Styela clava: one gene and its partner. The main gene of each other region encodes a partner of the protein of the gene in region 2 in a complex. Links are inferred from orthologs where the notes say so. Each region holds a gene or a part of one and is shown on either strand. Other genes may lie near its edges.

The links.
Region 1: RING-type E3 ubiquitin-protein ligase PPIL2-like (region 2) and G-patch domain and KOW motifs-containing protein-like share a complex: the UniProt entries of both Homo sapiens proteins name them as parts of the minor spliceosome. The link is inferred for Styela clava from reciprocal best matches to the Homo sapiens genes PPIL2 and GPKOW.

What each region holds. Positions count from the first base shown.
Region 1 is NC_135251.1:15,497,560-15,504,642, reverse strand, and holds G-patch domain and KOW motifs-containing protein-like, read right to left. Parts: upstream 3,040-7,083; 5' UTR 2,495-3,039; coding exon 1,004-2,494; 3' UTR 455-1,003; downstream 1-454. Other genes in the region: uncharacterized protein LOC120335364, read right to left, coding at 5-123, 197-272. UniProt on the Homo sapiens protein: RNA-binding protein involved in pre-mRNA splicing. As a component of the minor spliceosome, involved in the splicing of U12-type introns in pre-mRNAs.
Region 2 is NC_135252.1:15,071,223-15,078,809, reverse strand, and holds the start of RING-type E3 ubiquitin-protein ligase PPIL2-like, read right to left. Parts: upstream 3,089-7,587; 5' UTR 2,931-3,088; coding exon 2,899-2,930; intron 2,543-2,898; coding exon 2,384-2,542; intron 2,303-2,383; coding exon 2,170-2,302; intron 1,967-2,169; coding exon 1,814-1,966; intron 1,720-1,813; coding exon 1,644-1,719; intron 1,090-1,643; coding exon 935-1,089; intron 510-934; coding exon 426-509; intron 146-425; coding exon 1-145. UniProt on the Homo sapiens protein: Has a ubiquitin-protein ligase activity acting as an E3 ubiquitin protein ligase or as an ubiquitin-ubiquitin ligase promoting elongation of ubiquitin chains on substrates.

The sequences.
Region 1 (7,083 bases), on a different chromosome or scaffold from region 2:
CCACCTGATGCGGATAAGAGCTTTGGTGTTTTGGAGGCCTTGGATCCTGCCATGTAGTTGTTTGGTTTCTATGATCAATGAAAAAGGGCCATCCTGTTGCCTCGTCAATCCTCATTTCCCATCCTGATTCAAAACATTATCAAAGCTCAGGACCAGGAAATTTATGGTCAACATTAATAGAAAATTAAGGACATACCTGGAGGAAGTGGATCCATTGATATGTTTGGAGGTGGAGGGGGGTAGTAATTATTAGTCGGATGTGGATACGACATTTTTTTCGTCTGTTTGTACCTAGATATTGAGCTATTCACAGTGTGGTTCAGGCAAATATTGAGTCACTGCAGTGCAGGGTTGGTTAGTACTTCACTATCATTTGTGTTATTGATGAAGGTATATCCAATCAATTTAATGATGGAATGCTTATAAAAGCTAAAAATTATTACTACCCTATTACTGAAAAGACATCATTACAAAACATAAATATAAAAGTGCGATAGAAATTCCATTTTAATACAATTCATCATCTGCAATTGTTAGAAGCAACAATAAAGAGATATTATCACTTGCAGAATACTCGTATTGTCTATTTTTTGTCAAATTAGGAATCGAAAACCGTTCGTTCAACATTGGCAATACTTGGATGACTGATATAAAATTTCTGTGTGTGAACAGTATTTAGTCAATTTATTTTACCATGTTTTAGGAGATTAATTGATAATTATCGAAGCATAAATTTAGAAATCAAATCAGTTAGCAGAGTAGTAGTTTATATCAAAATCATATTATGATAAACTTGTTGATATAAGATTGTTTTTTATCCAAAGGCATCAGGTTATAGAAAATGAACAAAATTACAAATCGTATCTAAATTTATAAAACACATATCTAAATGATAAGGTTTTCGAATTCCAATAAAGGCATCCAAAATATATTGAAAACGCTGTAACATCTTACCATCAACCTAACGGCAAAATATAATTAATGCTTTTTATTTTGGGCAAAATTAAAACATCATACTGGCTTCAACATCGCCAGTATACTCGCACATTTCTTCAAAAGCAACCCGAACCACAACATCTCTATCTTCAATTAACTGAACCAGAGCTTCACAATTTGCTTTATCTTTTTCTAGAATTTTAGCAAGTTTCCCTGAATGTTTCGATTTGAATTTTGATTTCACTATAATTATATAAGAATCGGAAGCTGATTTTGGAATAACTGTTTCTAACATTGATTCTTCAATATCATCCAACAATCTACCATCTGTCGTTTTGCAGCAACAAAGTCCACCACCTAAAACATCTTCAATAATTACTTTTTCAAGATAGTATCTGCCTTTTTTGTACGATTTATCAACAATTCTGACTCTCATTTGAGGTTGTACCCAATGCGAGAGAGTAGAATTTGAGTCTTGTTTTGGAGAAATCTCTCTATTTGACTTATGTTTCTTTGATTTTTTATGTTTTGGTGGTGAATATTCTTTGTGTCTTCTTTTCCTTTTTTCTTTATGCTTCATATCTGTATCTTTTTGGTGTGACATAGCTCTGTCAGAACCTGGTGATTCTCGTCTTTTATCATTTTCCTCTGTATTTTTTCCATTACCTATTATAAGCATGTTATCCCCAGTATATGCTTTGCTAAGTCTACTTAAATCCTTCGCATTTTTATCATATTCCTTTTTTGTAACAACTCTAAGACAGTGTTGTCCAATTTGTTCAGATTTACCCCCTATTGCCATTTTGACAATACATCTTGCAGTCTCAATGTCTAGGCCCAAAATGACACCATATTTGTTTCTCAATGCGCCCCTGTGAATGAATACGTTAGCACCTTTTTCAAGTGCTAATTGATTTTCCTCTATATGAGTTTCATCTCGATTTGTAGTCTTAGTTGTATCAGCTTTTATTGGGGTAGCCACATCAGCACCAAGACCTAAACCTTTAGGCCTAACTTGCTGGTGCAACATTTCTGTGTTTTGTTTGAAAGTTCGGCCAATTCCCACTTCAGGTTTCCAACCCATCCCACGCAGTACTGCCATGCCAAATGCAGCCACAGGGATTTGATCATATTGGGCCTCTGATGCTTCATCAGGTCGCAATGATACATCTAGTTTATTATCAGTTTCATATCCCTCGGGCACCTTATTTTTCATAAGAAGTGGCACTGCAAGATTTTCAAAATCTTCTCCGTTTTGATCAGTATCTTCTAAAAATGTTTTAGATTCTGCAAGAATTTCTTTAGCTGCTTCCGCATCAATACTACTGATAACATTTTCTGCTGATGTCTTTTGTTTATTCACAGATGTTGGTATTTTATAAACATTTTGTTTAATTAGGGGTATAACCAAATCCCTTGGTGGTTCTTTCTGAAGTTTAGTTGATTTTATTACTTTTCCTTCTACGGTTTCAAGATAATCCGGCTCTTCATTTTTAGGCTTTTCAACATTCACAACCTTGGATTCTATTTTCTTCTTGAATCCAAAGGAAACTGACATTATGACAAACTCTAAAATATAGCAATAAGAATGGTTAATTTTCTAAGAAAATATAAAATTCAATTTTGCTGTTTGGTATTCACTTCATTCATTTTAAAGTTTACTGATTAACAGATTAAAGAAATAATAAGCAATCAAAAATCAATTTATACTTCAATTGTCTCAACTTCAACTGTCATTTCCTTAGATCTGTAGATTTTGACATATCAAAATGTGTTACCATACAGCCATAGCTTTTCAAGGTAATGTTCAGATGTCTGAGTGTAAAATGACAATAACTTGTACGACGAGTTCAAAATAGATTAGGCTATCTCGATCTGTGATGTGCAACCCCGCATGCGGCTCTCAAATACTCTTCCTGCTGTCCCGCTGCGGCTTTCATTATCCTTTAAAAATCATCATATTCAATGAAAGCTATTTTTATCTCAACCTGATACGGTACCGGTAGTTCAGTAATTTGCTCGTGATTTGAGCTTGGTCTGAAAGCTCAAAGATCGGCTTAGAATATTCTGAGAACTTCCATCGGTCGACTTCACTAACACATAATGTTAAATATGAATTCGATCCATAGCGCCATCACGCGACAGAATAAAGCAGTTGTGACAGGATACTGAGGAGTAAGAACGGAAAAGAACAATTTAGTGCAAGTGATGAGACGGATTAACAATATCGCGTACCACAGCGTCTCGTCCGATCACTAGTTCTTGTCGGGTGTGGGGTTAGATAGTCAGTTATTTGTTTCAGATGCATGGACTCGACGGGTGATGAAGCAGCCTCTACGAACCCACATAGGGTAATCGGAGGTATAACGATAAGTTTATTTCGACTCCATAATCAGCAACAGACGATAAAAAAATTGATAAAAACAAAATAATTAAAACTGATTATAGAATTGGAAAAGTAAACCAAACCTCAAGTAAGGTTTGAAGCGTACAGATTTTAGGTGGGAAGGTATTGATACAAGAAGTAGTGCGTGTTCGCTTACCCAAAAGGTGCTATTGTCACGGACTAAACACTAAAGTGTCCGTGTTTATATGGACCTTTCCCCGCCCTTTGACCCCCGTAAAATTCTTCCTATACTTTACCATTGCAAAATTTTCAGTGCTATTTTCGGAGTGCTTTTGCGAGTTAGCGCCTGTAAAATGGGGTATGTGTTTCAAACCATCATTATGCTTCATCGCACACAACAATCTGTTTTTTAAAAGTACCGGTAAAAAATTTCAGGCTAGTCTATCACAGCTATTTCTACACTAATTTTTATTACTGCAATTAAATTAAAACTTCTAGGAAGACAGAGTGGTCATTGAATTATCTGATTTTTATTTAAGTTTCCGAAACACAACTGAAAACAAACGAATAGGGTTCAAAAACGAGGTTTACAACCACGCTTGAAAATCTGTCTGAGTGAGAAAAGTGTCTGAGCGGATGGGAAAAGGGGGCATTGTTACGTCACTTTTTGCATCTTGCTGATTGGCCAATGTCACGAAGTAAACACGGAAGTCGATGCTCGGGGAAAGGTCCATTGTGTGTATATATTTTTTTTATGTTTATAGACTAGTATGTTTACCCTTGTTTAATGCTGTTTTGTCGGATCTGGACTCCGACCACTGACACGTAAGAAAAAAACTACCTATGTCTTTTCCCCTTTTTTCTGCGGCTGCTGCGCTGGCGGGCGGTCGTGTTTTTTAGTTCTTTAGTGATGTAATCTGTTATGCTGTTTTAAGTTTGATATTGGAGTTGCCGTGCAATAAACAACCAATCCTGAATTCTTGAGTCTTCTGATTCATCTACATTCTACAACCACAGAAGCAACATTTTTTTTACCGTGACACTATGACAAGTGAATGCGATGCGCCATCGGCCGCGCCGATCAGCCTGGCTTATTTAGACAAAAAATGAAATAAACCTACTCGATTTCGTTGAATCAATGAGCATATATGCTCATTGGTTGATTAAAGCGTGACATGCTTTTTTTTGTCTTTTGAATGCTGTTATTTGATATTACTGCTATATTTTGTGTTTTAACTTTGGAGACACCGAGACGCTACGGCACTGTCACTCTTTCTTTTGTTATCCTGTTAGAGAAGGCTGTGGATTGCAGTAATGTAGCTGCGGTTGTTTCAGTTAGATTTTTAGTGTTCTTGGGTCTTTTTAAGTCTGTAAAATTGTCCCTAGTTCTTAAATAGGTGACCTAATGTGTTTAAATCTGGATAGGCTTAGATATTGTTATGTTAGTCAATAGGATGATACCGGTATAGCAAAGGGTTCCACTGGAACATGTGATGAGGGGTTATGTTCAGGCCGGAACGACAACCGGATAAATTTGATTGATCGAAACATTTGGGCTCATTTTTGTACCATTTTAAGGCTATAGCCGAGTCTAATGGTTGGGATATATGTGGACACGATGGGGGAGTGAATTAGGCATTTGCATGGTAGGCAATGCTCTGAGTCATTGAATTGATTGTGAACGAACGTGAATGCTTTGAGGCTATCGTACGCCATTTTAAAAAGTATTTCGAAGTGAAGGGGGTATTGAAATGCTTCGAGCCGTTTTCGGTCAGTCCGCGAAGCTGGCAAGAGAAACCAATAATGAATTTGGCGGTGCATTGAAACAGCTAGCTAGTCGAGCTTATCCATAATTGAAGCCTTAGGATAAGGATTAAGAATGACTTGGCCAAATCGCAATTTTTGTGAAGGTTATACAAGTTTCATTTCCACATTGGCCTTTGCAATCCGCCATGTTGAAAGATGTAATGTCGTTGGCTACCAGATATTAAAGTTATGAAAGGCCATGGCAAGCCACAAAAGAGGGAACCAAATTTAAGCTACCGTAGCAACCGTAGCAATTTCTAACGATGAGATATTTGGGGCTGATATTACCAACGAGATCCCGTGTATCCCCAAGTTCCATTATCCCTTGTTTCAGATGCGGTCAAGTGGAACATAGAATCAGTGATTGTCGCAGACCACCAACTCTTACACCACCGTCTACGGCTCTAGGCCATGTCCCTACTATAAGCAAACGGGTCATTGGGCACGAGATTTTCCAAATCCAGTTTTCGGTGTGGACAACAGGGACACATATGCCCCCTGGCGCCAAGGTACAGGAGCGCCAAAATTTCACCGAAATTGGAGATTGCAGAATGCTGCTCAGTAACTGAAGGTCAACCAGAAACTCCTTTGGCTTTTCTTGGCTTTATTGTGTCTTTTGGTGACGACGTTTTCCCGAATCTGCGATTTTCTCCACAGATTTTGTTAACAATACCAGTTTCAATTGCATGCTGTGAACGGTCTTTCAGCAAATTGAAACTTATTTTGTCGTATTGGCGTGCATCAATGGGACATGATCGTCTCAGTGATCTAACACTTCTAAGTGTTGAGAAAGAAACATTGGAAAAAACAGATTTTGATGACGTGATTAACCAGTTTGCGACAGTGAAATCAAGAAAAATAAATTTATTGTAGACTATGTAAATCAACTTTGACAGTAACTGAGTGGGACATAATAGACATGTGCTATATTTTGTACAGCTTTACCTCTTCTTTAAATGAAATATTCCATTAAAATTTGAATTGTTTTTTCATATACAATTAAATGTAATAGAAAATATGATTGAACGTGGAGGTCGGAGCGCCAATTTTATAGTTTGCCCCGGGAGCAAAATATTCTGGCTACGCCTCTGCCCGGCGTCTTGGCTGGGCAAGGAGACAAATAGCGGAGGACACTGTTGACAAGATGCTTGAACAAGAAGTGATTGAGCTGAGTGATAGCCCGCACTCGTTACCAATTGTTCTGATACCTAAGAAAGATGGTAGTACGCGTTTTTGTATTGATTTTAGGCACCTAATTCAATTACCTACAGGTCCTACATAGATGGTTCCCCTTTAACTCGAATAGATGACATCGTGGGGTCATTTAGCGGATCAAGCTGGTTCTCAACACTTGACTTAGCTAGTGGATACTGCCAGGTAGAAGTTGATCTGCCTGGCAAAAAGAAAACCGTTTTCAGTCGGGAAATGTTGTTCAAATTATTTGGATGATGTTTTAGCCCACGAATGGGATTTTGACGCCTCATTGAGCAGTTTGAGGGAGATTTTCATTCGAGGTGCTGGTTTGAAACATAAGCCGACTAAACGCCAGTTGTGTTGGCAATCAGTTACCTACCTTGGATACAAAATTTCTTCCGAAGGAGTTTGCTGTGATCTTCCCAATGTAGCAACAATAGTCGAATGGGAAACGCCTCGAGTAATATCAGATCTTAGAAGTTTCTTGGAAACTGCCGACTATTATAGGCGTTTTGTATCTGGTTATGCCACCCTAGCATCTCCTCTGGTTCGTTGGATTAAAAAAACGTGAATTATGAGTGTCAGCTCATATTCTGGCTTTTCGTTTGGTTCAAGGGGAGTTTATTTTGGACACCGACGCGAGTATTACTGGTGCTGTTTTATCACAACTGCAAGGGGGGGGGGACATGCTTATTTCAGTAGGACTCTATCTAAGACGGAACGTCGGTATTGTACAACAGAGAGGGAGCTGTTGGCGATGGTTAAATCAGTACGTCATTTTCGCCATTATCTGTGGGGCA
Region 2 (7,587 bases):
AATCCTTTTGACATAGCTTCATGAAATTCTCGCAAGTTTTAGGAGTCTGATCGCAGTGTAGTTCAACATTCAGGTTACCGAAGTTTGTTTGTAATCTCACATATCCTTTTGTTTTTACAAATCCGTAACGAACCACATCATCATCCTATGAGTAGTAAATAGTACAGTTTGCACATTCTGATCATTACCTTATATTGTAACAGGAAATAATTGGAAAGATATGATAAAAAGATATATTTTGCTGATTTTTAAAAACAAATTTTTTATAAATATAAACTTTGGATATTGATAAATGTTCTAATAAAGGGAAATGAAGGACGCTAACAAAAATCTATATTTCATAATACATGTAAATCTACCTCTATTTTTCTTTTCAATTCACAGACAAATAGAAAAATTATATATCCCCTTAATTTATAACTCACCAACACTGCGGTTTCAGTTTCAAGTTGTGGAACTGCAGCTGTAGATGTAAATGAAGCAGAAACAGTTCCAGTTGAATAATGAGCCTAAATATACAACAAATGAGAATTTTTTCAGTGAAAATAAAAAATAAATATATATATAAATTGCATATTTAGTTTATTTGCATATGTCCCTGTAGGAAGCACTTTAAATTATATTATCTCTCTTACAGAACTTTTCACCTTTAAATAATGAAGAATAAAAGAGCAAAATAAATAGAAATAATTCGCAAATATACTATGATTGATAATTCTTATTTCAAATATTCAAAACGACATCAATACAACAGTCACAGTGATTAAATAAAGTTATTTTTAATTGATAAAATAAACAAAATTTCACATAAAAAAATTTTGATTTTATGTTCCTACAGCTGCGACCAATGGAATATCATATCAATCACAATACAATCATATAAAACCTAAATTAAATTCATTATATATAAACATAGAGGGAAAAATAAACTCACGGCATTAAATTTATCCACTTTAGATTTTTTCGCAACAGGTTTTTCTTTTAATATTTCGTCTCCCTTATAGGATTTATTCAATTCATCCATAGTTTGCTCTAGTTCTGCATTTGTGCTGTTTAGAAAATATCCAGGCTTTGATCGAAAATTAGCGTCTGAAATTATAAGAGTTATATACAATCAAATCAATAAAACAATCAGATGGACAAATGTGAAAAGCTTCAAAACTTTTGAAGTTTCCCAAATCAATACATCGCATGCTTGCTCCTACGTAAATGACTGATCTCCGAAAGAGGTAACGGAAAGGCAACCACTAAAAGCTACTAAACTATACGAATTATGGTGATGCATTATGCGTTAGTATGAACCAATTAATGCAAGACTCGAAGCGGTTCAATGAGAGCGATTAGGAAGTTAGCTATAAGGTAGGGAACTCCATATAACTGAAACTCTTGAAAAAAAATTGTGACATAAAAGTTTTTTGTATGGTCTGTGAATAGACAAAAGATGAATGAGCTCACAGCCAATTATGATAGCTGATTACAAGAACACAGTCGATTGTAAAATCTGTAAAATAATCAGAGCAAAGAATTTCTTCGATGGGAAAGAATTGCAGTTCGGATGCCAATCTTGATTCAATCAGCTGTGCTATTTAAAAATCATTGCAGGGTGGTAGGTAAGTAAAGAGTCAAAAACAAATAGAACACACCTGCTTCTGGAAGTCTCAAATTGTGTTTGAGATGATGAAATGATTGTAGGTTAAATTTGTCCAAGTTTGTTGGATCCTGAAATAATTATGTTCCATGTTAACAAAACACAGGACATAAGTTGTTAATAATAATATTGAATATAATTCGTTTAATCAAAATAATAAAACACCTGTATTGTTATCAAATCACTTCTCGCAAATATTTCATCTGTGAGCAAATCTCTCCAATTTTTAGGTTTGATGTTCAGTTGTTCAATTGCATCATAAGAATAAACGTTTCCAGTCTTTGAAACAGCCACAATGTGAGTATTTTCGTTAAAAACCTGTATTATTGAAAGATGTCAATATAATTCGAGGTGAATATATTGTTATAATATAGGAAGGCCTACATATAACATTTGTGAGCTTTAAGAAAGTAACAGGCCTATGTTAAAACAGATTATTCATGCAGTTCAAGGGTAAATAATGACTTTTGTGAATTTTTATTGAAGCAATGTAATATAAAACAAAAGCTATGGAAACGAACCTTAAACAAAACTGGGCAGTGATATTTTCCATCCGCATTTTTATGAAAATTAAGTTTCACAAGAGATTTTGCGTCCATTTTCTTCCCCGTGATTGGATTTGTCCCATATTTCTTTAGCCAAGGGATGATGCTCCTGGATTTGAAATAATTAAGTATCATGTTGATGTATGAATGAGATCAAACTTATAAAATTTAATTTTAAACTGTAACTTACAAAAGATCGAAAATATGACCATCTTTGGTACACATTGGGGTATCAAATGGTTGCATAGACAAACTGCAGCAAAAGAATGGGAGTCTGCGAAAATCTGCATTTTCTATTTTCTTCCGATGACCACCATAAAATGCAGACCATTCCTTGCCTGTTATATACCTGAAAAAATAAAATTACAGAAAATACTACATTCTCTTACGGGGAAGATTTTTCTAATTTGTCATTACCATAAACTTAATTCTGCGATTAGACACTAAGAAAAACATGCATTTTAATATACAATGAAATAAATAAAAAAAAACAATATCACATTAATTGTTATCATCAAATATAATTCTAAAATTTTCATTGTCATCGAACATTCCATGATTCTGGGATTTTAGCATCAGTATTACCTAATCCTTTAAAATATTGCATTGCAACTCTTTTCAATTAAAGACTGAACAAAAATTCAATTAATTAAAATAACTAGCTTAACACCTACAGCAGTACCAGCAGTGTATTTTCAAACTTACATCTTATCTGATTGATGTTGCCTCTTCCCCATCTTGCAGTCTCGGCACTTAGCTAATCCAACTGGTTTAAAACAAGCTACAACAAGACTTTCTTCCTAACCAATTGACGAATTCAGGAATTGACAAATTAATACGGTACGGTAACTGTTAATACGAATGATGTATACGGCACCACACGAAATTCTGATAACAATGAAATTTGGAAAGTGCACTTTTTTTTTTTTTAATGTTTCCACAATGTGGATCAATCAATAATTAAAGAATAAATAAAATAATATAGGGATATCAATAAATAAGTGTATACAAGTGACAAAACAAATACATCATCAGCACTTCAGCAGAGTAGTTGTTCCATAATAGTCCATTTTTCCATTGGTATATCCAGTATGTATTTTGAACATTAATCATTAATACAATATTTATTCATTAGCATTAATTATAATCATGAAGTGCACTTTTTGCAGTAGCTTTATTTACAGACTTGGATCCAGCGTAGTTTTTGACTCTGTAGCTCTAGCTCACGGTAAGTTACCGTGAGCTAGAGCCGTTACCGTCGGTAACCGTGTGCGCGTTAGTACAGCCAAAAAATTACACAGATTTTTGTGGCGTATTTTGAGAGTGCTTTTCGGAATTGAAGTTTGATAAGATGGTTCATTTTTGGTTTATAACCATCATATTTGAAGTATCCAAATTCAATTTAAAAGCACCGGTATCCAAACGATAGTTAATTCATAAAAGTGAAAGTGTATCGGAAATTTTTAGAGATTGAATACCGAAACCAAACTAGTCGGATGACAAAATGACTTGTAACTAAATTTTGGCAACGCAACTAAATACAGTACTGACAATTATCACGCGAAACCTTGAAAGTGAGCCAATGTTTATAACGATGGGTGCAAATATATCTACGTGAAAATAGTGTCGCATTTCATTTATTTAGCTTATACATTGTTTGCTTTTTTCTGAGTTGTCATTCATACGGAAATGAACAAGAAAAACGATGATGGAAAGAAATATCTTTTGCCAAGGACTGAATGCTGGACGCATAAGTTTCCATAAACGACCTGCAATAAAATTCCAAGGAATACATTTATTGAAGAATGAAAAACTGATTGATCAGCAACTGTTGTTGCTGTGTGGCGTACCGGTGGTAGCATACTTACTGAAGGTGGATGCGTGGTTTTGTTTGTTTCGTTGTTTTTCGCTAACATTATTAGCGGTTAATTGCTACAATTTGTTACGTGTGAGCCCCAGACGCCAAAAGGGCGCTTAACATAAAGTCCTTTCTATTTATTGAATTGAAACCGATTTTTAGACAGACACCGCGTGCACTCTCGATGACAATATATATAGTCAATGAAGACAGCCGGGATGGTTTTAAATGTGTGCCTAATGTAAAATCGGTAAATTTGAAGTTGAAAAAAACACAGCTACGGCCTTTGGAGGCGTCCCGCTTTGAGGTCACAAAAATATGGTAACCCCAAGTTTACAGCAATCCTTTTGGTTTTGTTATAAGCAAACAAGTAGGTCTAAAGAATAAATGCAAAAGGTCAACTCTTCTTCCTCCGTCTCTGCCTGGTTTTACCATGAAATGCTGAAAAATTACATCATGTTCGCTAAATTCAATTCAGCAGATAAATAAACTGCAGCTCGCGAAATTGCAGCAAGTACTTTTATCTCCATTAGAGGTAACATTGGAGGCAAACACTACGTGATGGAAAGTAAACGACATAGTCAGGTAAAAATTGTGAATTGGTGAATTTATTGATTCATATACACAGCATTTAAATTAGGAAACAATAAAAAATTTATATTAAATGCAATATGTAAAATATTCAATCATATTTCAGGTATGTTTAACCGTAGTAGTATATATTTACGGTTTAACACAATCCTGTTAGTTTTCGCGGCGCATTTGGCAACTCGTCACGGCAAACCTATTGGGAACCGCTACATTACACCGTTTTTCTTTATCAATTTTAGCTTTCCATTTTTTGGTGTTCCGTGAGGCGAGATAAAAATTCTAAGTGTTTCGTGGCCGAAAAAGTTTGGGAAACGCTGGTGTAGACAATACCCAAAACCGTGCATGGGTTAGAACTGAAGGTAATATGTGCTGTGACGTTCTACTGTGATCAGCGTCTGATGACAACATCAAAGTGTAACAATGCAAGTGTCATTTTTATTAGCTACCGCCGCCGACTTTGTCACCGTTTCTAAGCGACTCCATTTGATATGCTTCACTTCAATATAAACCGATGATGAATGTGTATAGTATACAATAATATTCAATGCAAGTTGGAAAAGCGAGTTACCATGCTAGGTGTTTTGTTAATAGGGGGAAAGGAAGGTATATACATCTTATCATCTGACTTTTTATATTATCTATTTAATGAATTATTAAATTGTAAGAAGACTCAATGGACAATATGCTACTATAAATGCTGATAATTGATGTCCGACTTTGCTTTGTGAATTGTGATGTACTTTTACAATTGTATTTTTCGTCCTTTGAGCGTCCATTCCGTACCTTTAGCGAAATTTATTTTTGCGCAGTAACGAATAAGTGAAAGGAACGACGATTGTAAAAGGACTATCATGTTATCTGCACAAATATCGAACGACATCAGAGGCAAGCCCACATTCAAGCTATGGCAATACCTCAGGCTAGGTATGGTGTGAATATAATTTATTAGGAGCAAAGCACCGTGTGTACATAGGAAAATTCTGTCGAGACAGGTTGTCAAGAAAAAGAAAAGAACTGCGATGGATAGAGAAGTCCCGTATATGAAGGTGTGCAGATTGCTCTGTAAAAAGTAATGGAAGTGAGCCAAGCAAAAAACGCCACCATTAAAGAAGTATCTCTGTAGAGACACAGCTGGAGAAGTCAAGAGGGGAAGGTGTCAAGATTGCCATGCAAGACTAGCAGCATGCAATAGAAGTAAGAAAGGGTACCGACATAAAGAAAAGACCACGACCGAACAAAAAGGTGTGAAAGTGGAACGGGTGTAAAAGGCATCAATGGAAAAGTAGCTAATAGTTCTGTGTCGACGCAGATGACCGGGTCTGTGAAAGAGGTAAGAGGACCTACACGAAAATTAAGAAGAGTGAAAGGTTCTTCAGTTTGGGGAAATGGAGCTAGCGAAAACCGTAAACTCAGTAGTAGTTAGCGAAGCAAAAAGAGTAGTAAGCGCCACGCAGAACCAACGATGGTGTAAATAAAGTCAGTCAAAAATTTTCCCTAGCCTGAAATTATTTAGAAGAAATTACGAAGATTGTGAGAGGGCAGTTTTTGCTTTTACCAAACATTTCTTCCACGGTTATGCTGTCTAAATAAATTTTGTTTCCGAAGTTTGAATGCAATACCTTAATTGTTCATACTCACGGCATTCGGGCGCAGAGGATTGCCGAGTCATTAGAAGAGCAACATTAGTGATAATATAATTGATCCACATTTATTCGGCCATCGTCGGACCTATAATTTAACAACAGACTTGGTGCGCTGGAGAGTACGCGTCATTATTACACGGAAGAAATATTTGTACCTTTCAAATTATCAGCTTATGTGTGCACGTTTTCAAATCTTTTTTTATCCTCCCAAAATCCCGGGATTGTTAGGAAAAACCACCAGGAAATCCGTATTCCGAAATTTTAAATTTGCATCCAAAATCCCACAACGACCAATGCTTCGGCGAAAGTATGCAAAATCACGGTATTGGGTATTCGATTGTACAATACAATTGTAGGTATGAATTTGACGATTAAAGACTTTGTTGAACGTTCTCAACTATCTGATTAGAGTGGTATATGGAGAAATGTATTTTGTGAGTGAGTATAGTGACTTCATTTATGTGTAGGCCGACCTTACCTCGTAGTATTCCGGTTGTTAGATTGTCGATTTTAACTGCAATATGTGGACTTTATTTTGAATTTGTTATTAAACAAGAGAGCTATGCTCAAATATATGGACACGTAGCGCCACCCAATGGCAATAATTTTGATGACGTCATAGCGAAAAAAAAAGTAATAGCCTTCTGGAGAAAAATTTTATCTTCAACCACTGAAAATTTCAAAGCAATTGGTCCAGTATTCGAAGAGAAAAGCGACTTTTTAAAAACGTGTCAAAGAACAACAACAACAAGGATAACAAGAACAAGAACAACAACAACATAATATTGAAACGATCGTTATGTCCACTACGTGTCCAAAAAAAACATCCCTTTTTTATGTTTACGCCTTACCCTATCCCCGCGTATGATCGTGGCTGATGAATACAAACGCCTTGGGCGATCGAGCGTGGTGTCGTTTCGCTAGAGTAGTTCATCGTATCTTACGTAACTTGTTATTCTCGCGAGCTCGCGCTTCAGACAATTGTTTATTTTCTACGCATCGCCACGCAAAAGTCGAACCACAACGGTCGGGAGTCCAAGTAGTGGACCTTGTGTCATCAATACGTTACAATAGTTTTGTAGTTTTGATTTGGTCGCGTTAATATCCGGCGTTTTGTGTAAGATTTGCTATATAATAAAAGTAAAAATAAAAGAGTCGTTAGAATAAATAAGCAAAACAAATACAAAAAACAAATACATGGAAAAGGTTAGGCCAACATTGTGACATCACATTCTGACATTACAGCATTTGGACACCACACAGACACACCACCATGTAAACAGAGCGTCTTCGTTGTTTATC